Macaca fascicularis: one gene and its partner. The protein of the gene in region 2 interacts with the protein of the main gene of each other region in a pairwise test. Links are inferred from orthologs where the notes say so. Each region holds a gene or a part of one and is shown on either strand. Other genes may lie near its edges. The genes, in order: HSPB2 and DMPK.

The links.
Region 1: the proteins of DMPK (region 2) and HSPB2 interact in a two-hybrid assay, tested with the Homo sapiens proteins (2 studies listed by BioGRID). The link is inferred for Macaca fascicularis from reciprocal best matches to the Homo sapiens genes DMPK and HSPB2.

The regions. Positions count from the first base shown.
Region 1 is NC_088388.1:110,837,328-110,845,970, reverse strand, and holds HSPB2 (heat shock protein beta-2), read right to left. Parts: upstream 5,612-8,643; 5' UTR 5,548-5,611; coding exon 5,454-5,547; intron 4,947-5,453; coding exon 4,492-4,946; 3' UTR 4,294-4,491; downstream 1-4,293. Other genes in the region: CRYAB (alpha-crystallin B chain), read left to right, coding at 6,653-6,853, 7,935-8,057. UniProt on the Homo sapiens protein: May regulate the kinase DMPK.
Region 2 is NC_088393.1:53,859,130-53,868,996, forward strand, and holds the start of DMPK (myotonin-protein kinase), read right to left. Parts: upstream 4,857-9,867; 5' UTR 4,738-4,856; coding exon of another isoform or gene 4,719-4,737; coding exon 4,559-4,718; intron 2,755-4,558; coding exon of another isoform or gene 2,696-2,754; intron 2,229-2,695; coding exon 2,137-2,228; intron 1,882-2,136; coding exon 1,798-1,881; intron 1,719-1,797; coding exon 1,623-1,718; intron 995-1,622; coding exon 846-994; intron 562-845; coding exon 468-561; intron 217-467; coding exon 10-216; intron 1-9. Other genes in the region: DMWD (dystrophia myotonica WD repeat-containing protein), read right to left, coding at 6,650-6,697, 7,048-7,122, 7,981-9,255. UniProt on the Homo sapiens protein: Non-receptor serine/threonine protein kinase which is necessary for the maintenance of skeletal muscle structure and function.

The DNA of each region.
Region 1 (8,643 bases), on a different chromosome or scaffold from region 2:
TCCAGGGCTGTGAAATTAAAAAACTGAATCTAATCCCCTTTCTGGTATAAAATCAGATGATTCTATGATCGGGATGGCCTCAGCACTTCTTAACCACTCACTTCCCTATCCACAATTCAGAGCTACTGATTCTCCACTTACCCCTCAACTCTGCTTCTCCTTCCAGTAACGCAAAGTTTGACTCACCCCACACTCACCAGTTAGAAAATATGGGCTCTAGGAGAATCCATTGAAACCCATTATTCTTGTCTTCAGTTCTCTCACCCCATTGTTAGTGTTTTCCTCGGATGCCTGGTTATTTGTGTGTCCTTTAAGTGGATGTTCAGGGCCCACCACTCAGCTCTGCACTCCACAGAGAATACCCTAGACTTTGAACTCCTCTTATGAAACATGGGTAAGAGTGACAATCTTACAGGATTGTGGTGAAAAATAAAGCTGTAGTGCAGGGCCTGGCATATGGGACACGCTCAGTAAGAGTTAGGTATTGTTGTTGTTATTATTACAAAGCATATTATTTTCTTTCTTTCTTTAATTTTTAAAGAGGGTCTCAGTCTGTCACCCAGGCTGGAGTTGAGTGGCTAGCTCACTGCAACCTCAAACTCCTAGGCTCAAGAGATTCTCGCCCCTCAGCCTCTCGAGTAGCTGGGACTACAGGTTCACACCACTGTGGCCTAGCTAATTAAAAGAAAAAAAAATCTTTTTAGAGACAGGGCCTTTTTTTTTTTTTTTTTTAACTAATGTGAGATGGGGTCTTGTTATGTGGACCAGGCTGGTCTTGAACTCCTGGCCTCAAGCAATCCTCCCATCTCAGCCTCCCAAAGTTCTGGGATTACAGGTGTGAGGCACCACACCTGGCCAAGATAGGGTCTTGCTATGTTGCCCCTGCTGGTCCTGAAGTTCTGGCCTCAACTGACCCTCCCACCACGCCTGGTTCCCACATCTTACTGTCTTTTCGTGTGCCCTAATCATTGCACTATTTCATGGCCATGCTTCTTCCGTGCAATCCATTCTGTATTCTACTCTACCATTAACTGTATCCTTTTCATCCTGTTACCCACTCCTTCTCCTCCCAGTTCAAAAGCCATTAATGATTTCCTATCACCTACAGGATACCGTTCAAACTGCTTAGCCTAGCACTCAAAGCCCCCCATAATCTGGTTCCTTTTTAGCCACCCCTTCTGTAATATTTTAAAAAGCACCTAAGCAGCTGGGTTTACACAGTGGCTTGGCTCATGCCTGTAATCCCACTGCTTTGGGAGACTGAGGCAAGAGGATCACTTGAGCCCAAGAGTTCAAAATCAGCCTGGGCAATATAGCAACAACCCATCATCTCTACAAAGTATAAAAACTGAAAAATTAGCCAGGTGTGGTGATGTGTGCCTGTAGTCCCAGCTACTCAGAAGGCGAGGTGGGAGGATTGAGCAAGAGAGGTTGAGGGTGCAGTGAGCTGTGATCACGCCACTGCACTTCAGCCTGGGTGACAGAGTGAGACTGTCTCAAAAAAAAAAAAAAAAAAAAAAAAGAAGAAGTAGAAGAAAAGAAAAGGAAATCACCTAAGGGATTTTTAGATGACCAGAAACTCCAAAGAAATCCATAGAGCAATAGAGCATTGTGGTAGCCAGAAAACCTGATATGCCTAAAGCAGCATTAATAGAAGCCTGAAGTGATAAACAAGGATATTGATTATTCCACTGAAGTCTGTACCAGTCAATCCATGACTGGAATAACAATTTTAGGCCTAGATGTTGAAATTCAAGCTACGTTATCAAAAGGCAGTATGTTCAAAATAAAGTTAATGGGTAATATGTGATGTGGAAAGTGCTATATGATATGGTTGAAGGAACAAGGCATGGCCAGGTGTCGTGGCTCACGCCTGTAACCCCAACATGTTGGGAGGCCGAAGTGGGCAGATTGCTTGAGGCCAGAAGTTCAAGACTAGCCTGGGCAACATGGCGAAACCCAGTCTCTACAAAACAATACAAAAAATTAGCCCGGTGTTGTGGTGAGAGGATTGCTTGAGCCAGGGAGGAGGAGGTTGCAGTGAGGGGAGATGACACCACTGCACACACAGCCTGGGTGACAGAGAGAGACCTTGCCTCAAAAAAAAAAAGAAAAAAAAAAGACCTAGGCATGTTTAGCTGGGAAAGGGAAGCCTCAGGAAGACAGGATGGTTATCTTTAAATATCGGAAGGATTTTCAAGTGAAAAAACCATTGCATTTGTTTTTCAGAGAAGTTACTGAAATGCAGATTTTGATTCAACAAAATCAAAGGAATTTATAACGGTTAAGTCAGTTAAGACCAAAAAGAAAATGGAGGGCCAGGTACAGTGGCTCATACCTGTAATCCCAGCACTGTGGCAGGCCAAGGCTAGAGGACTGCTTGAGTCCAGGAGTTCAAGACCAGCCTGGACAACAAAGCGAGATCTCGTCTCTAGAAAAGGTAAAAAATTAGCCAGGCGTGGTGGCACACACCTGTTGTCCCAGCTACTCAGGAGGCTGAGGCAGGAGGATTGCTTGAGCACGGGAGGTTGAGGCTGCAGTGAGCCATGAGGAGCACGGGAGGTTGAGGCTGCAGTGAGCTGCAGTGAGGCATGGCCACTGCACTCCAGCCTGAGCAACAGAATGAGACCCTATCTAAAAAAGAAAAGAAAGAACATGGAACAGGCTACCGTGGGAAGTTCTAAGTTGTCTGTCATTCAGAATGTCCCAGAATAAGTTGATTAATAACTTTAAAAGAATTTTGAATGGAGTGGGGATTTGGACTAAATCAGAAGTTTTCAAATTTTTTATAGCTGAGAAACCCTTTCCCTTAAATAAAGCTCAGTTACAAAACATATCAATGTGAAGTTATTCTGGTTGAAGTCTAAGTGGAATCCTTTTCTTATTATTTTTCTTCTCAACTAGATTCCGGAAAGTTCACAATAAAAGCTAATAGTTTTTATATTTACAATATATATTCCCCATGGTGTATTACATGAGGTTTGATAAATATTGAATGAATGAATGAACAATTAAATATATCAAATGTTATTTCTCTGGGGCATGCTTTCATTTTTAATAGACAGCAATCTTTCAACCAGAAGTTGAATTCCTCAAGTGAGTTCTGTTATCCTGGAGGTCCACAGATCCCTAAGAAGGATGTATGAATGGGTCTGAAGAGTTGTGGGAACCTATTCAAGTTGTATTGCCAAATTTGGGAGCATATGTATTTTTCTGGTAAGAGCAGCTATAGCTTTTGTCAGATTTTCAGAAGGGTCTATAACTCCCAAAAGTTAAGAAATAACCACTTAATTTAATTCAATTTAATTTTTTTGAGGCAGGGTCTCACTGTGTCACCCAGGCTGGAGTGCAGTGGTGCAATCTCAGCTCACTGCAGCTTCAACCTCCCTAGCTCATCCTCCCACCTTAGCCTCCCAAGTAGCTGGGACTACAGGCATGCACCACCATGTCTGGCTAATTTTTATTTTTTTGTAAAGACAAAGGTTTCACTCTGTTGCCCAGACTGGTCTCTTACTCTTGGGCTCAAGTGATCCTCCTGCCTCGGCCTCCCAAAGTGCTGGGATTACAGGTGTGAGCTGCTGCACCCAGCCAAGAAACAACTACTTTAATGGAAGAATTGTAGGTATCTACCACAGCCTAATAAAATATGTATTCGGAGGCAGGAAGGTCGTTTTGGACACCTCCCCCAAATCACCTAGCTGGATGTTCTCTTGATTGCAGAGAATAACTGAGGGGACAGACCCTCAGGCTTTTCTGAATACACCATACCCCCAGAGGACGGGAAGGTAATGGGGTTCCATGATCATTGGAGAGGCTTTGTGTCTGTGCCCCTGTGTATGCATACTCGGGCTCTCAAAATCAGTGACCATTTCAGTGGACAGACCTTAGTACATGAAAACAAAGTATTTACTCCAGGGCTTTAGGCAACTCTCATCAGCCAAAAACCATTTTCCCAGCCCCTACCCAAAACGGGCCAGACAGTCTGGAGACCCTTGTTTTTGTGTCTCTAATCACCAGCTCAGACAGTGCCCTCTGGGCTGTTTGGATGGCATATCCCTTTTCTCTCCCAGGATCACTCTCTCTTTTGTTGCACTGTGAGAAAATCACGGCTAGGAATTTGATCTGGAGCCAGCATCAGCTTCCGGGTGTGATCTCAGTATCCAAGTGCGAGCTCAGGGTCCTATGACGTTAGGCACATCAAACTGAGGAACTTTTTGTCTAGCTGGCTGTGACCGCCTCCCTCCCTCCCCATCCCAGCTTGCCGGCCACAGAATAGGGAGCAGCACAAACAAGGCCCTGAGATTTGGGTTTATTCGGCTCCACCCAAAACTAAACCAAGGCTATGACACGTCCCATGGGACCAAACCATACATTGTAGACCATGCACCTTTCCTTTCCCCCAAGGACGCTGCTACCTCTGGAGTGGTGGGCAGCTGCCCATATCACCATGGGAGGTAGAGAGGGATTTGCTGGGTGCTGGGTCTGTGGCAATCAGGGCTCAACTATGGCTGCCTCCTCCTCTTCCTCTGGATCAGGAGGCGCAGGGAGCAGGGAGATGTAGACCTCATTGACCTCTGTGTCCAAATGTCGGCCACCCCGAGGCGCTTCCAGGTTTAAGATGCCATCATGGGAGAGAGCAGCTCGGACCCGCCAGGGGTCGACATCAGCAGGCAGGACATAGGTGCGGCAGAACTCTCGGGACACGAAGCCGTGGCGGTCCAGGCGCTGGGGGTGCCGGGCAGACACCTCCAGCAGGTTATCCACAGTCCTCACAGTCACCTCGTCTGGGGTAAAGTGGCTCACATCCAGAAATGCCTGGAACTTGCCCTCACTGAGCCTAAGCTCGGAGGCCCCTGCCCTGCTGCCCTCCCCAGCTGGGGCGGCCCGAGGCCGGACATAGTAGCCATGGTAGAGTGTGGGGGTCAGGATCTCTTCTGGAAGGAGGCCTAAGGGGCAGAGAGAACGCAAGAGGCAGGATGAGGGAGGATGAGGCTGGCACAGGGGCGAAATGGGAAATCTGGAGAGGAGGGATTGGGAAGAGCAAGAGGGGAGTCAGGAGGAGTGGGGAACGGGAAGGAGGCCACACAGTAGCTAGGAGGAGAAGGCAGCTGGGAAGAGGGGAAAGAGAACGGAAAGGAAAGGGAGGAGGAGGAGGAGAAGCAGGGGGAGGAGGAGGCACCAAATGGCCTGGTTGATAGAAGGGGGACAAGGAGGCACACCCAGGCGGGCAAAGGGCAGGTAGCAGCACTGCAAGCACCAAGTGTGTCTTGAGGTCAGCAGGAATGGGAAAGAGCTCTGCTTGGAGGGGATGAGAGGGAGTCTGGGGTGGGGGGTGGCTGGTCCCAGGAGATCAGTTAAGCCCAGAGTGGGGTGGAGGCCAGTAACGTTGGGAGGTCAGCCCAGAATTTCAGGGGGTGGGGGTGGGAGGCAAGGGGGTGGCATCTGTGCCATACCTTCTCCGAAGCGCTGCTCACCCAGGCGGCTCGGGTTGGCAAATTCGTACTCAGCGGTGGCTGGGTGGGCATGTGGCACTGAGCGGCCCGACATGGCTGCAGATGCAGCGGGAGCCCTGGTCCGAGGTGCAGCCCCAACAGGCGCAGCGCGACCCCTCCAGCTGCCCGGAGAGCCAGGGCTCGATAGGAGGTGGGGGCGGGGTCGACACCACCCAAAATAGTGCCGAGCCTCTGGGGGGGAGGGGCGGGGAGTGGGGGCCCTGAGTGAGAGCAACGAGGGTGTGACCAGCGCCGCCTGGACCCCTAGTCCCCTCCCCCGCACACTCTTCAGCTGTCGCAGGGGGCCTGAGAGGACAGCTGAGGGTCCTGGTTAGGAACGAGCTGAGAAGGGGGAGCTGGTGGTGCCTGGGGCATGAAGAGGCCTCGCTGAAACCCTCACAAACGGTTTGCACGTTTCCACACCTCATTTTCTCCTCCTTGGAGGCCGGCACTGTGCACCCAATTCCTAAAGCACTCCTGGATTTAATGTTCTGAGAGCCACATAGGATGAAAGATGCAAGAAATCTTTCTGCTCTTTTTTTCAGGGAGTGGGGTCTTTCTGCCCAGATGTCGGAGTCCTCTCCTAAACCCAGGTCAACCCAGGGCAGGAGGCAGATGGCTGGTACCCGCATGTTGACCATCACTGCTCTCTTCCAAGGACTCACAAAGAGTTAATGTCCCTGGGGCCCAGCCTAGGAAGATTCCAGTCCCTGCCCAGGCCCAAGATAGTTGCTGGCCTGATTCCCCTGGCATTCAGGACTGAAGAGGAGGAGGAGGAGGGGCACACTCCACCGCCTGCCCCTCCACCCACCCGCGTGCCTGCTTGGGATTCCTGACTCTGTACCAGCTTCAGAGAACTGGGGTGGGGGTGGGTGCCACTGGGTGTGTACAGAAAGCTAGTGAAACAAGACCATGACAAGTCACTGGCCGGCTCAGACGTGTTTGTGTTTCTCTTTTCTTAGCTCAGTGAGTACTGGGTATGTGTCACACTGCCAAATCCCCGATCACAAGTCTCCATGAACCGGCGGTGAGCTAGGATAATAAAACCCCTGACATCACCATTCCAGAAGCTTCACAAGACTGCATATATAAGGGGCTGGCTGTAGCTGCAGCTGAAGGAGCTGACCAGCCAGCTGACCCCCCACACTCACCTAGCCACCATGGACATCGCCATCCACCACCCCTGGATCCGCCGCCCCTTCTTTCCTTTCCACTCCCCCAGCCGCCTCTTTGACCAGTTCTTTGGAGAGCACCTGTTGGAGTCTGATCTTTTCCCGACGTCTACTTCCCTGAGCCCCTTCTACCTTCGGCCACCCTCCTTCCTGCGGGCACCCAGCTGGTTTGACACTGGACTCTCAGAGGTGAGTCTCCCCACTGCTAGAATGGGAGAGTCCTTACTGGAACCTCCTGTAAACTTCTCCATCCATTTTCCTCTCCTTTCCTGCCTAAACCATTTTAGGCACATGTGTATCCAAATGTGAAGAAAAATGAGGAGGTTGCTAGTTCCTCCCTCCCCCGTCACCTGTTTCTACTTGATGGTCCTCTGTATCCCATTTATTACATTTTTTTCATGCACTGTCAAGTTCATCCTCCATCCCCTAACTTCTCTGCAGGGTACCCCTTTCTGGTTTGGTTCATAACAATCTGCAGGGAAAGAGCTGCCTTCAAACTCCTTTGCTCATCTCTTCTAACACCATGGACTCTTGACCAATTTTACCATCTCAGGTGTCAGAGCCAGGAGAGAGCCCTGCCTCACCCTGCCTGAGCTGTTCACCCTCATGGGCATTTTCTGCCTTTTTATTCCCTCTTCTGTGATTTTCTGGGTTTCTCAGGGCTGTGACAGGGCATTGGCCTGGGTCCAACCAAGCCTTATGAGGAAACAATATAGGGACCCCCACTCGTCCTAAGAGGGTGAGAGAACAGGGTGAACATATAAGGTTGACAGAAGCTGTCACAGATAACGCTCTGGTTTAAAAATATTCGAGTGTGAGTAAACAGGAGATGAGTGGGCAAGGGCTTTGGAAGGACAAGCAGGACCAGCAGAACATTCCAGATTGGGTGGGTGGAAAACTGGCAAAGAGACCTGAGCCAGAAGAAGAGGCCTTTGTCTCACAGACAAACCACAAAGCCAGGCATCGGAGCCAGAGAGGCAGCAGATGCCAGGCCTGCACCCATCCTTGCGACTGGTCCCCTGGGTGATCTGTCTTCTTCTCTGTCCCTGTAAATAAAGTTTGGGTCGGATCACCATGAGCCTTAGGTATCACTGTGGTGGCTCCCTGAAGCAGAGAGCCATGTTTATTTAAAAAGGGGATATTTTAAAGCAGAAAAGAGAAGGATGAATTACCTGGACAGAAAGCAACTCTGCAGAATAAGACAACACCAGTATAATGAGTACTTTCGCCATCTTTCTCCCGTCCCATTCCCTTACCTTGCTATTTCTAGATGCGCCTGGAGAAGGACAGGTTCTCTGTCAACCTGGATGTGAAGCACTTCTCCCCAGAGGAACTCAAAGTTAAGGTGTTGGGAGATGTGATTGAGGTGCATGGCAAACATGAAGAGCGCCAGGTATGTAGCTTGGTTTTTGTTTTCTGCTCATTCATTCAGTGTATACTGTAATAGTCCAGGTAGTGCTATCAGCTTTGGAGGCTGGCTACATTCCAGTCCCAAGCTATAATAGTCTAGATCAGGGGTTACAAATCAATGTCTAGAAGACTAAGTTAGGGATAGACCTATTGCTGTTGTTACTGTTGTTATGGCCAGAGATGTGGTCTTTGTTTGATTTGATCGCCTTAGATGGGATGATGGGATGTTGATGCCCCATCTTAGCCAGAGGTTCTGAATCTTGGCCACATTAGAATCACCAGGGGAACTTTCAAAAAACCTAATGCTCAGGCATACTCCAGACCAATTAAATCAGAATTTTTAGGGGTGGGACCCAGGGCATCAACATTTTTTAAGGTAATTCTAATCTACAGTCAAGGTTGAGGACCACTGATTTAGGTATAGGGCTGTCAGACACCTAGTTGCTTTGCATAATTACATTAACTACAGGTACCCTAAAGGCACTTGAGTTGTGAATTCTCTGTTAGCTGTGCAAGAATCCATGTCTCTTCTTTAGCCCATCTTAATGCTGAACTACTTGGTTTGTCTA
Region 2 (9,867 bases):
CATGCTCACCTTGTAGTGGACGATCTTGCCGTAGGTCTCCGCCGTGGAATCCGCGTAGAAGGGCGTCTGCCCGTAGAACATTTCATAGGCGAACACACCCAGCGCCCACCAGTCACACTCTGGCCCGTAGCTGCCTGTCCCAGGCCCACCGCCCACAGCCTGCAGGATCTCGGGGGACAGGTAGTCTGGGGTGCCCACAGCCACCAGTGACCGCACCTGGACCAAAAGGAGCAGAGCGAGGCTTGGGCCCACCCCTCTGGGCCCACCAGCTCTGGGCCCTCCTTCCAACCACTCCCCAAATGCTTAGCCTCTCCCTCTGCCTGGTCTAATGCTCTGCCACACAGATGCACACTTAGGCCTGGGTCACCTCCTCCTGCCCCCTCCAAATCCAGTCCTGCCCCCACACTCTGCACCTCCCATCCCTCATTAGCAGCCCGAGTTGCTCTGTGGCCAGGGCACTGGCTCACCGTTCCATCTGCCTGCAGCTTGAGACAGGAGCCGAAGTCGGCCAGGCGGATGTGGCCACAGCGGTCCAGCAGGATGTTGTCGGGTTTGATGTCCCTGCACCGAGGAAAGGAGAAGGGTGGGATAAGTGAACCTCCCTTCTGTGGTCCCACCAAGCTCTGCCCCTTTGGGCAGTGCCACCTCGGGCCCCACTTCCTTGGGTTCTGCCCCTGTAGGGATTCTACAGTTCTGGACCCTACTCCCAGGCACGCCCCAGTGGGCCCCAACCAAGGAGGTCCCTCTCTAGGCCCTGGCCTCTCTGGGCTCTGACCTTCCAAGAACCCTGCCAGGGAACAAGCTTGCTATCCCCTCGCCCTAGCCCTCAGCCATGCCACACACACCTGTGCACGTAGCCGAGCCGGTGCACCGAATCTATGGCCATGACAATCTCCGCCAGGTAGAAGCGCGCCATCTCGGCCGGAATCCGCTCCCCAAACTTGCTCAGCAGTGTCAGCAGGTCCCCACCCACGTAATACTCCATGACCAGGTACTGAGAAGGGGTTCGTCATGGGTGGCTGGTAGTCCCGAGGCCCTGATCCATCACGGATGGCCGGGACAACCACTGCCAGAGACACCCCATCCCTGGGCAGAGACCTGCAGCCCCAGCCCAGAGATAACCACAGAGATCTGCCGGGCCAAATCAGAGACACCTGCGGCCCCCGCCCCCCGCCCCTCGAAAAAAAACACAAACAAAAAACCTTTCCTGGAATGTCACTGGGCAGATTCACTCCCCCTGAGATGTTCTGGGAAAGAGAACTCATAGACCACTGAACACCCAGAGAATAGGTCCCAGACACTCCCTCCCTAGGCAGTGGCCCCGTTAGAATTTCTGAAGACCTATCCCATTCCAGGTAAGAGACCCCCCCAACAGAGACTTCTTTATAGGAGTCCCCCAAAACACCCCAGAAAGGGGCAGTGAGGGACCCCATCCCCGTCCAAGATAAGGAAGGCCCCTCATCCACCTGACACACCCTCTTACTGCACACAGACTCTCCCACAGGCGTGGGGGACTTGTGGTGGGCAGCACCCCCAATCCTAGAGCTTCCTCTCCCCACCTCCTCATCCAGTGACAGCATGGGCTCTGTACCTCTTCCCAGTCACCCCAGCCCGGAGCTCACCAGGTAGTTCTCATCCTGGAAGGCGAAATGCAGCTGCGTGATCCACCGCCGGTCCCCATTCACCAACACGTCCCTCTCCTCACGGAAGCACGACACCTGCAGGGCACCCGGAGGAGCTGCAGCCGGAGAGAGGGCGCGGATCCTCAAAGCCCCCCACGCCCGCCGAGCCCCTCACCTCGCCCCTCTTCAGCATGTCCCACTTGTTCATGATCTTCATGGCGTACACCTGGCCCGTCTGCTTCATCTTCACCACCGCTACCTGAGGCCAAGAGAGGCAGACAAGGTGGAGACGCCGGGAAAACAGAAGGGCTCCCCGAGACCCAACTCCACCCGCTTCTGCACTCAGTCGTGGCCCCGCCCCACCTGCCGCACCACGCCCATTGGTCCCAAGCCCCGCCTCCAGCCCAGCCCTAGGTTCTAAGGCTTGGTCATTCATCAATTTCTAAGGCCCCACCCCAACCCTTATGCCCCACCCACCACAAGTCAAGTCGGGCTGCCGACCAGTTGAGCTTACCTCACTGAACGCCCCGCGTCCGATCACCTTCAGAATCTCGAAGTCGTCCCTGTGCAGTCGGACCTCCTTAAGCCTCACCACGATGGGCTCCGCTGGGGGCGTGGTGGGGGAAAAGAACCGAGGGTCACCAGAAAAGGCACTGGAGACAAGGGGAAAAACCCCACCTTCTGTCTCCCCTTCTCTCTGCCTCTCAGCTTCACCCTAGGACTGTCTGCTTCCCAAGAGCTTCCCCACATAAACACTGTGTAAGGTTCAGGGGACCCAAAACTGCCCTCCCATAGAGGCGAGATGCCTGGGAAGCCCTTTGCGGGACAGGGCATTGGACCAGAGGGCTCCAAGGGTGTGCAGGACGGTGAGGGTGGGGTAACAAAGTCTGCAGAAGGGCAGACCCTAAAGAACAAGGGGAGAAGGAAATAAGACCCAGTTCTTCCACCTTCCTGGGCTTCCAGTCCTCCACCCCGACTCCAGGTGACAGTTCAGGCGCAGCCAGGACCCCACCCCCTCGTTCTCATGTAGAATGTCCTGGGTAATGGCCCAGACGTGGGGTTGTATCCAGTACCTCTAGATTCAGATACAGGTGGTTCTTGAACCACACTTTGGGAAACCCTGGATCTGGGGCTGGGGGAAGGAACAGGACAGGGAGACAAAGCCGGCATGGTCACACATCCTAGACTCAAGTGCTCTGGTCCAGCCCATCTCTCAGTCCTCCAGGAGGAGGGCTTTAGTCCTACCCCTTATTTACAGATGACAATCAGGGCTCTCAGAAGTCAAGGTCCTATGACTAGGAATGTTAAACAGGGCAGCTTGGGTGGGGGACCGGCTGGGGTGGAGGCTTGGGGCTCAGGGACCATGGGGACAGGGAGGCCTGGACTCCCAGGGGTGGAAGAAGTGGAGGCAGGATGGAGAGAGGGATGGGTATGGGAGGGGAGGGAAGGAGAAGAGACAGTGGGTTCTAGAGGAGAGAGGGGTTTCGGGGGGTTCCGGGAGAGTGGGCCAGCAGGGACGAACCAGCCAGGGCTGAGGACGGGGGAGGGAGGAGAGAGCCAAGACATTGAGCCCTTTTAAGGCAGCAGGAACCCAGGCCCCCTCCCCCGCCCCAGGCCTGGCAGGGGAGGGGCCGCAAGATGCAGCTCGGGCCACAAAAGGAGTGCTCCTCCCTGGAGCGCCAGACCCCTACCCCGCCCGGTCTCAGTTTACCCTGCCAGCCCAACTTCATCCTCTGTTAAAGGGGGGCCAGGAGAGTCATTAGGGGCTGCGGGAGGTTGGGAGAAGGTTTTTCCAGAGGCTGAGTGGCCTGGCCCTTCTTGGCCTCCGCCTTCCCATCTGTGAAATGGGAGGAGGAGGGAGAGGAACCAGACCTGGGTCACAAAGAGATGGACACAAGAGGAAGCAGGGGAAGGTGGAGAAACAGGAAACAAGTGTCACACAGTTTGTCACACACAGACCAAAGACCAAGTGCCAGTCGCTGAGGGCCAGGCACGTGAGGGCCAGAGGGGCAGGGTGCTGGGAGTGAAAGAAACCAGTGACCAGTGAGCCTGAGTCCTGGGCTTGGGGAGGAGATGGGCGGACAAGGCAGCTGGCAGAAGTGGAAGCATCCTCCTTCCAGCCCTGGCCCCAGGCCCTGGAAAGTCCTTGCAAGAAGGGGCTTTGTGGGGCAGCTGGAAGGTTGGAGGCCGTGGGCCAGGAGAACTAAAGGACGCAGGGAGCTGGGGTGGCGAGAATGGTGGCTGACCCACACGGCTCATAGGGACCGAGACTTTGGGGCTGGGGGTGGGGGTGGGTGCAGAACCTACAAAAGGAGGCACACCCAGAAGAACCCAAAGTTGTCCCTCCTGGATCACAGAGGAGGGGGCGCTGGTGGCGCCTGTCTGCAAAGCTGGTTCTCCCCCAGGGCCCGCGTGAGTCACCGCCCTCCCAGTGCCTGGGCACCTGTTGGGGCAGCTGGAGAGGCTGGCGCCGAACACCTGCCTGTCGGCTGCGCCCCTGGCAGCTGCCCCATGCTGGCCCTCCTGGCTTGCCCTGGGCTGCAGAAAACCAAGGGAGTGGGCCATAGAGCCCACTTGTGGGGAGAGGATCCTAGGAGAGGGAGCTCCCAGCATGACACTGGCCCTGTCCCTGAGGCAGGGTGCAGAGAGGCCATGGGAGGCTGTTGGCAGTGTAGCCTGCTGTGACTCCTAAGCCATGGCTCTGAGTCATAGCCACCCTGGCCTCTGCTGACCTTACTCTGCCCCTCCAGGGTGGTGGCATAGGACAGAGAAATGTTGTCCCAGGACTCAGGTCCACGCTCTGAGCCCCAGGATGGGAGGATCTTCCCATGCCCATCCTGCCATCCTGCCCCCGCAACAGCCAGGCCTCTGTGCCCAGACCTGTCTCCTGCCCCACCCCCACCCCATCTGCAGGAGCCCTGAGGGCAGGCACTCACCCCACTGCAAGAAGTCGGCCACGTACTTGTCCTGGGCCAGTTCGGAGGCACCCAGCTCCTGGTGGACGCCCAGGAGAAGGTCGAGCAGGGGCTCCAGCCCCAGGAAGCCGGGGTCCAACACCAGCTGCTGGAGCTGCCTCAGCCGCACCTCGGCTGACATGTTGGACAGGCAGCACCATGGCCCCTCCCCGGGCCGGGGGCTCGGGGTCCTCCTGTCACGGGGCCTGGCAGCCCCTGTCCAGACCCTGGAGCCCTGGCTGCATGTCTGCCTGTCCCTGACTGTCCCCTGGGCCTCTCTGGCCACTTCTCTCTGCTGCTGAGGCCTCCTCCCCTTCTCCCCACCCCTTGGTCCAGCCCCCCTCCCGCCTCCCAGCCTTAACCCCTCACAAGCCACCCCCCAAGCTCCCTCCTTCCGGGGCCCTTCAGAACCCTTCAGTGCTAGAGGGGATGGATGGAGAATCTCAGCTCTCACACTGTCACCCCAATAAAAAGGTAGAGCACAGAGGAAGCCACAGGTGTGATGGATTCCAAGAGGAACCTGCCCATTACTAAAATGGGGCCAGTCGAGGCTGAGTGACCCAGTAGCAACCACCCCCTTGCTCCTGACAAGCTCCAGAGCTAGGCGCTGGGCGCTGGGCGCTGGGCGCTGGGGGCTGGGGGCTGGGCGCTGGGCGCTGGGCGCTGGGCGCTGGGCGCTGGGGGCTGGGCGCTGGGGGCTGAGGGCTGGGTAGGAGAAAGGGGCTGAGGCCTGGGAAGGGGTGGGAGGCCAGGGCAGCTTCTTGGGTGACTCAGAGATGGATTCCGACTCGGACAGTTAAATTTAGCCCTCAGGCTCTCTGCTTTACACTTTTTTTTTTTCCAGGAGGTGGGGAAGGGGTGGTGAGGAGAGGACCAGGAGGGGGCACCCTCAGAGCCTGAACAGGGGTGACCTGCTGCCCAAAGCCTGGGGGAGGCAAGTGGTGGAGCCAAGCCCTCCCCAGGCAAAGGAGACCCCAAAATAGCTCCTTGGCCCCTGGCCGGGAAGCCACATTCCTGCCCAGGCTGGGATTAGAAACAGAAACATTTCGGGGGGTGGAGGGTGGCGCGGGAAGACACTCCCTGCGGCTCCGAGAGCCAGGAGGGATCTGAGCTCTTCTTTCCAGTATGGACCGTTCTCCAGAGTGGAAGTCGGGGCCTCCAGCTGGCCTGGGGTGCCTGGGCCTTGAGAGGGCCAGGCCTGAGAAACGAGGCAAGGACCAAGGAGTCCCAGCTGGGCAGGGCTTGGGAAATGAGGTTCTGGGCAGTTTTGAGAATTTTAAAAACACCCAATGAGGACTTTGATGAGGGGCCCTGGCAGCGGGCAGGATGCTCTTCTCCCCGAGAGGGCCCTGCTCCAGTCACTGGTGTGGGTCACCAGCCGTGTGACTCGCAGATCCGTTCCCTCCCTGGGCTCCGGCTTTTCCTGCTATGAAAAGGGGTGGGAGGCGCTGGGCCAGGAGCAGGCCTGCACTCCTCCTCTGGGGAAAGCGGACTGCCTGGAACCGCAGAGCACACACACAGGTCCTCTACACCACCTCCTCCGAAGGGGACAGAGCCGCTGAGAAAACAGGGAACTTTAGTATAAATAAGAGGTCCTGGGGGACAGGGAGGAACCTGAGGGGCTTCCATAATTTAACACTCTTCAAAAGCACAGACAATAGCAAGGGCAGCTGGGGTGGGGGCCAGGTGAGGGCTGGACCACCCCCAGCCCTGCCCACTCAACTAAGGGGCACACTGCAGACCTGGGGCTCTTGTGGTGGGGGCGGGGAGTCTCTCCCCAGGAGTGACCAGTCACATGCTGGGGACAGGGATGAGGGTAACACTGATGTTTCAGAGGAAGAGGTCATTGTACTTGGCAGTGGGTGGGGGACAAGGCTGAGGCCACAAGGGCCATTACATTCCCCCAGTGTCTGGGCCAGTCTGGGGGGGCCCCCAAATTTTGTGCAGGTTGGGGGACCGGCGCAGTCCATCTGTCATAGTTAGTCTTGTTAATACGTTGATCCATGAGGTCAGCAGGGAGGGTTATGGCTAGGAGGCTGGGGGCATGGGGTAGGGGCCCCGATATCCATGGCTTCACACCACTGTGCCGCTCGGGGAGTTGCCTGGTTGGGAGGAGATGCCCTGGGGAAGATGAGAGGGAGAAATGGGAGGGGTTAGAGACCACCTGGACTTCAGCCAGTGTCAAGGGGAGGGAGCCAGCCCAGAGTCCCCAAAGCTGCTGCCACCCTGGCCTTGCCCTTGGGTCCACCCCAGAGCCCCCAGAGGCCGCTGCTCTAGGTTGGGAATTTGCATCTTAGCTAGCTTCCTGTCCTGGCAGTCGGCACTTTCACTCAATAATCAAAGTCCTCGGCAGATCCTGAGTGAGATGATGGGGTAAGGGTAGGGGTGTGAGGGGAGGGGGAAACTGGGGCTCCCTTCTAACTTGGGAGGGACCCTGAGGTGCTGGGGAAAGAACTCAGGGACAGTCCTACCTCTACCACTGACTTGCTGGGTGACCTGGGCCAACTTCCTTCCCCTGTCTGGGCCTCGGTCTCCTCGTCTGTGAACTAGGGAGACAGAGGGGTCTCTTTTAGGACTCAACCAGACTCCCCAAATCCCACCACTCTTGCCTCTGAGGCACTCAGACTGTACTCTCAAGTTCTAGGGACTCAGGACTCTACAATACCAAAACCGAGGATCTGAGGAACCAAGCCACAGCCTCCAGGACCCTGGGCAGCTGAGTCCAAGCCCTAAGGAGCGGAGACACCCAAGACAAGCTCCGGACTGACAAGATGCCAGGCCTGCTTTTGCCTACTGTGACCTTTCCAACACCATAGCCCACCCAGGAGGCAAACGCATCCCCCCTCTGCCCATTCTACAGGCTCTAAGACTTAGGTGATAAGTTGGAGGTTAGAGAGAGCAGTGACTTGTCCGGGATCACACAGGGAATGGGACTGGAACCCAGGCCTGGGATTCCCAGACTGTGCCTTCAGCAGGAGGCTCAGATCCTGAGTCCAGAACCAGCCTGGCAGCCATGCCCACAGGCTTGAGCTCGCCCCTAGAGTTTTGGCCTGAAGTACTCAAAAAAGTTTCACCATTTAAAAAACAGATGTTCAATAGAAATAGATTTTGGTTCGAGTGACAGGCAGCAAGACTTGGCCATGCGGGGCCCATCTGCTGCCCTTCAGACGGCCAGCCTTGGACGCCCCGTCTCCCAGCTGGCTCTCACACCCACCCCTCTCTCTGCTGCCTGCCACCTGGGAATCTGAGAGGTCTTGTTCTGAGACACTAAGATTTCCATGGCTTCCCCTCACCCCACGAAGCCAGAGGCTGTGACAGCAACAAAGCCCTCTCTCTGCCAATGACTGCTTCTTCCCACCAAGGGTCCTGCCAGGTCCCCGGCAGGCTGGCATGGAGCCACTCACCGCCTTGCCCGGCCGGGCCCAGGTGCAGATGAGGCCCTCCTGGCAGGCAGTGATGATGCAGTCCTCCAGAAACAGGAGGACTGTGAGCCGCTCCTGCGCGATCTTCTTGCACACGAGGGGCTCCAGCAGGGGCACCTCATGGATGCGTGGGCACAGTGCGGTGCCCAGCACCTTGGCGGGGTCCAGGCGGCTGCGGGGAATAGGGCCGCTGGGCTTCTCCCCACTGCCGCCGCCACCGCTGCCACCCCGGCTGATGTTGCCCAGGCTGTGGTAGCGCTTGTGCTCCTTCTCGGCCCCCCGGTCCCGCCGCTCCTGCAATGTGAGCGTGGCGAAGCGGCCGATGCTGAATGGTGTGCCAGGCTCTGCTGCCACGCCCGGGCCGCCTGCCTTGCCCCCGCCCGCCGGGTGCGGGAGGCTGTTGGAGCGGGACAGCGAGCGAGGCAGTGGGCCCGGGCCAGGCTCGCCACCCCTGGAGCTGCTGGCGGCCGGTGGCGTGGTGCCAGGAGTGCCAGGGAGGGTGCGCGTGCGGGCCAGGGGCGGGTGCGGGTAGAGCACATCTTCAGTGAGGTCCCACAGACAGAACTGCGTGTCCTGGCCCGCCGAGCCAAAGCGGTAAGTGATGGAGCCAGCCTTGGGCAGTGGAGAGAGCGGGGCACCCCCGGCCGAGCCTGTGCCCGCAGCCTCGGGCTCCTCCTCCTCCTCCTCGCCACTCCGCTCCCCGTCAGCACCGGCTGCTGTCGCCGCCTCCTCTGCCCGTGTGGTGTAGGGGTCGAAGGCCACAGCGTTGACCCAGGACTTGTGGCCGTGGCCTCGAGCCACCACGCGGCCCTCAGTGAAGGACCACACGGTGACCAGGTCATCTTCACCACCCGTCACCACGTAACGGCCGTCGGGGCTCCAGCACACACACAGCAGGCCCCCAAAGTAGCTCTTCATGAGCCCGCGCAGGAGCATGGAGTCGAAATGGAAGACGCGCAGGCAGCCATCCTGGCTCACACAGGCCAGGTGCCGGCCATCAGGCGAGAAGGCGAACTCGTTGAGGGGCCCCTCGCCCACCGCCCACTTGGCCAGTGGGTTGCGGGGCGCCTTGCTCTTGGCCGCATAGACAGAGAAGCCCTCGCCCTGCTTCAGCAGGCTGTACTGGGGTGGGGCCGAGGCGCACGGGTGGCTGACGTTGTATAGGTACAGGTGGCCACTGGCGTGTGATGCCAGGAACAGGCTCTCCGACTCAGGCAGCCACTTCAGATACGTCACCTTGGTCTTGTCGATCAGCCGCTGCCAGGGGAGACAGGGTGGGGTTGGGAGAAGGCAGTAAAACTCAGGCAGACCTTCTCCCCAACCTGAAGTCCCCAAGGCCATTGGACACGGCCCCGCCCACACAGCAGATGCCACACCAGGCCCAGGTCCTCCTCGACGAGAAGCTCCCAAACTGGGGAAGACAGATGGATACTGGGTCATGAAGACATGGGGGAACAGGGGCTGCTCCAAGGAGCCTCAATGTGTCATCTTTGGTGAGGGGACAGTCCTGCTTGCCATAGAATTGTCCTGTATCTCAGGGTCCTCAACCTCTGGGCCATGGAACAGTAGTGGTCTGTGGCCTGTTAGGAACCGGGCCATGCAGCAGAAGGTGAGCGGTGAGCAAGCAGGCATTACAGCCTGAGCCCGGCCTCCTACTGGAGCAGCGCACCATTTGATCCTCATAGGAGCGCAAACCCCACCATGAACTGCGCATGCGAGGGAGCTAGGTGTGCGCTCCTTACTAGAATCTAACACCTGATGATCAGAGGTGGAACGGTTTCATCCCAAAACCATCCCCCCAGCAGTTCGTGGAAAGACTGTCTTCCCTAAGCCGGTCCCTGGTGCCAAAAAGGTTGGGGACCTCTGCTC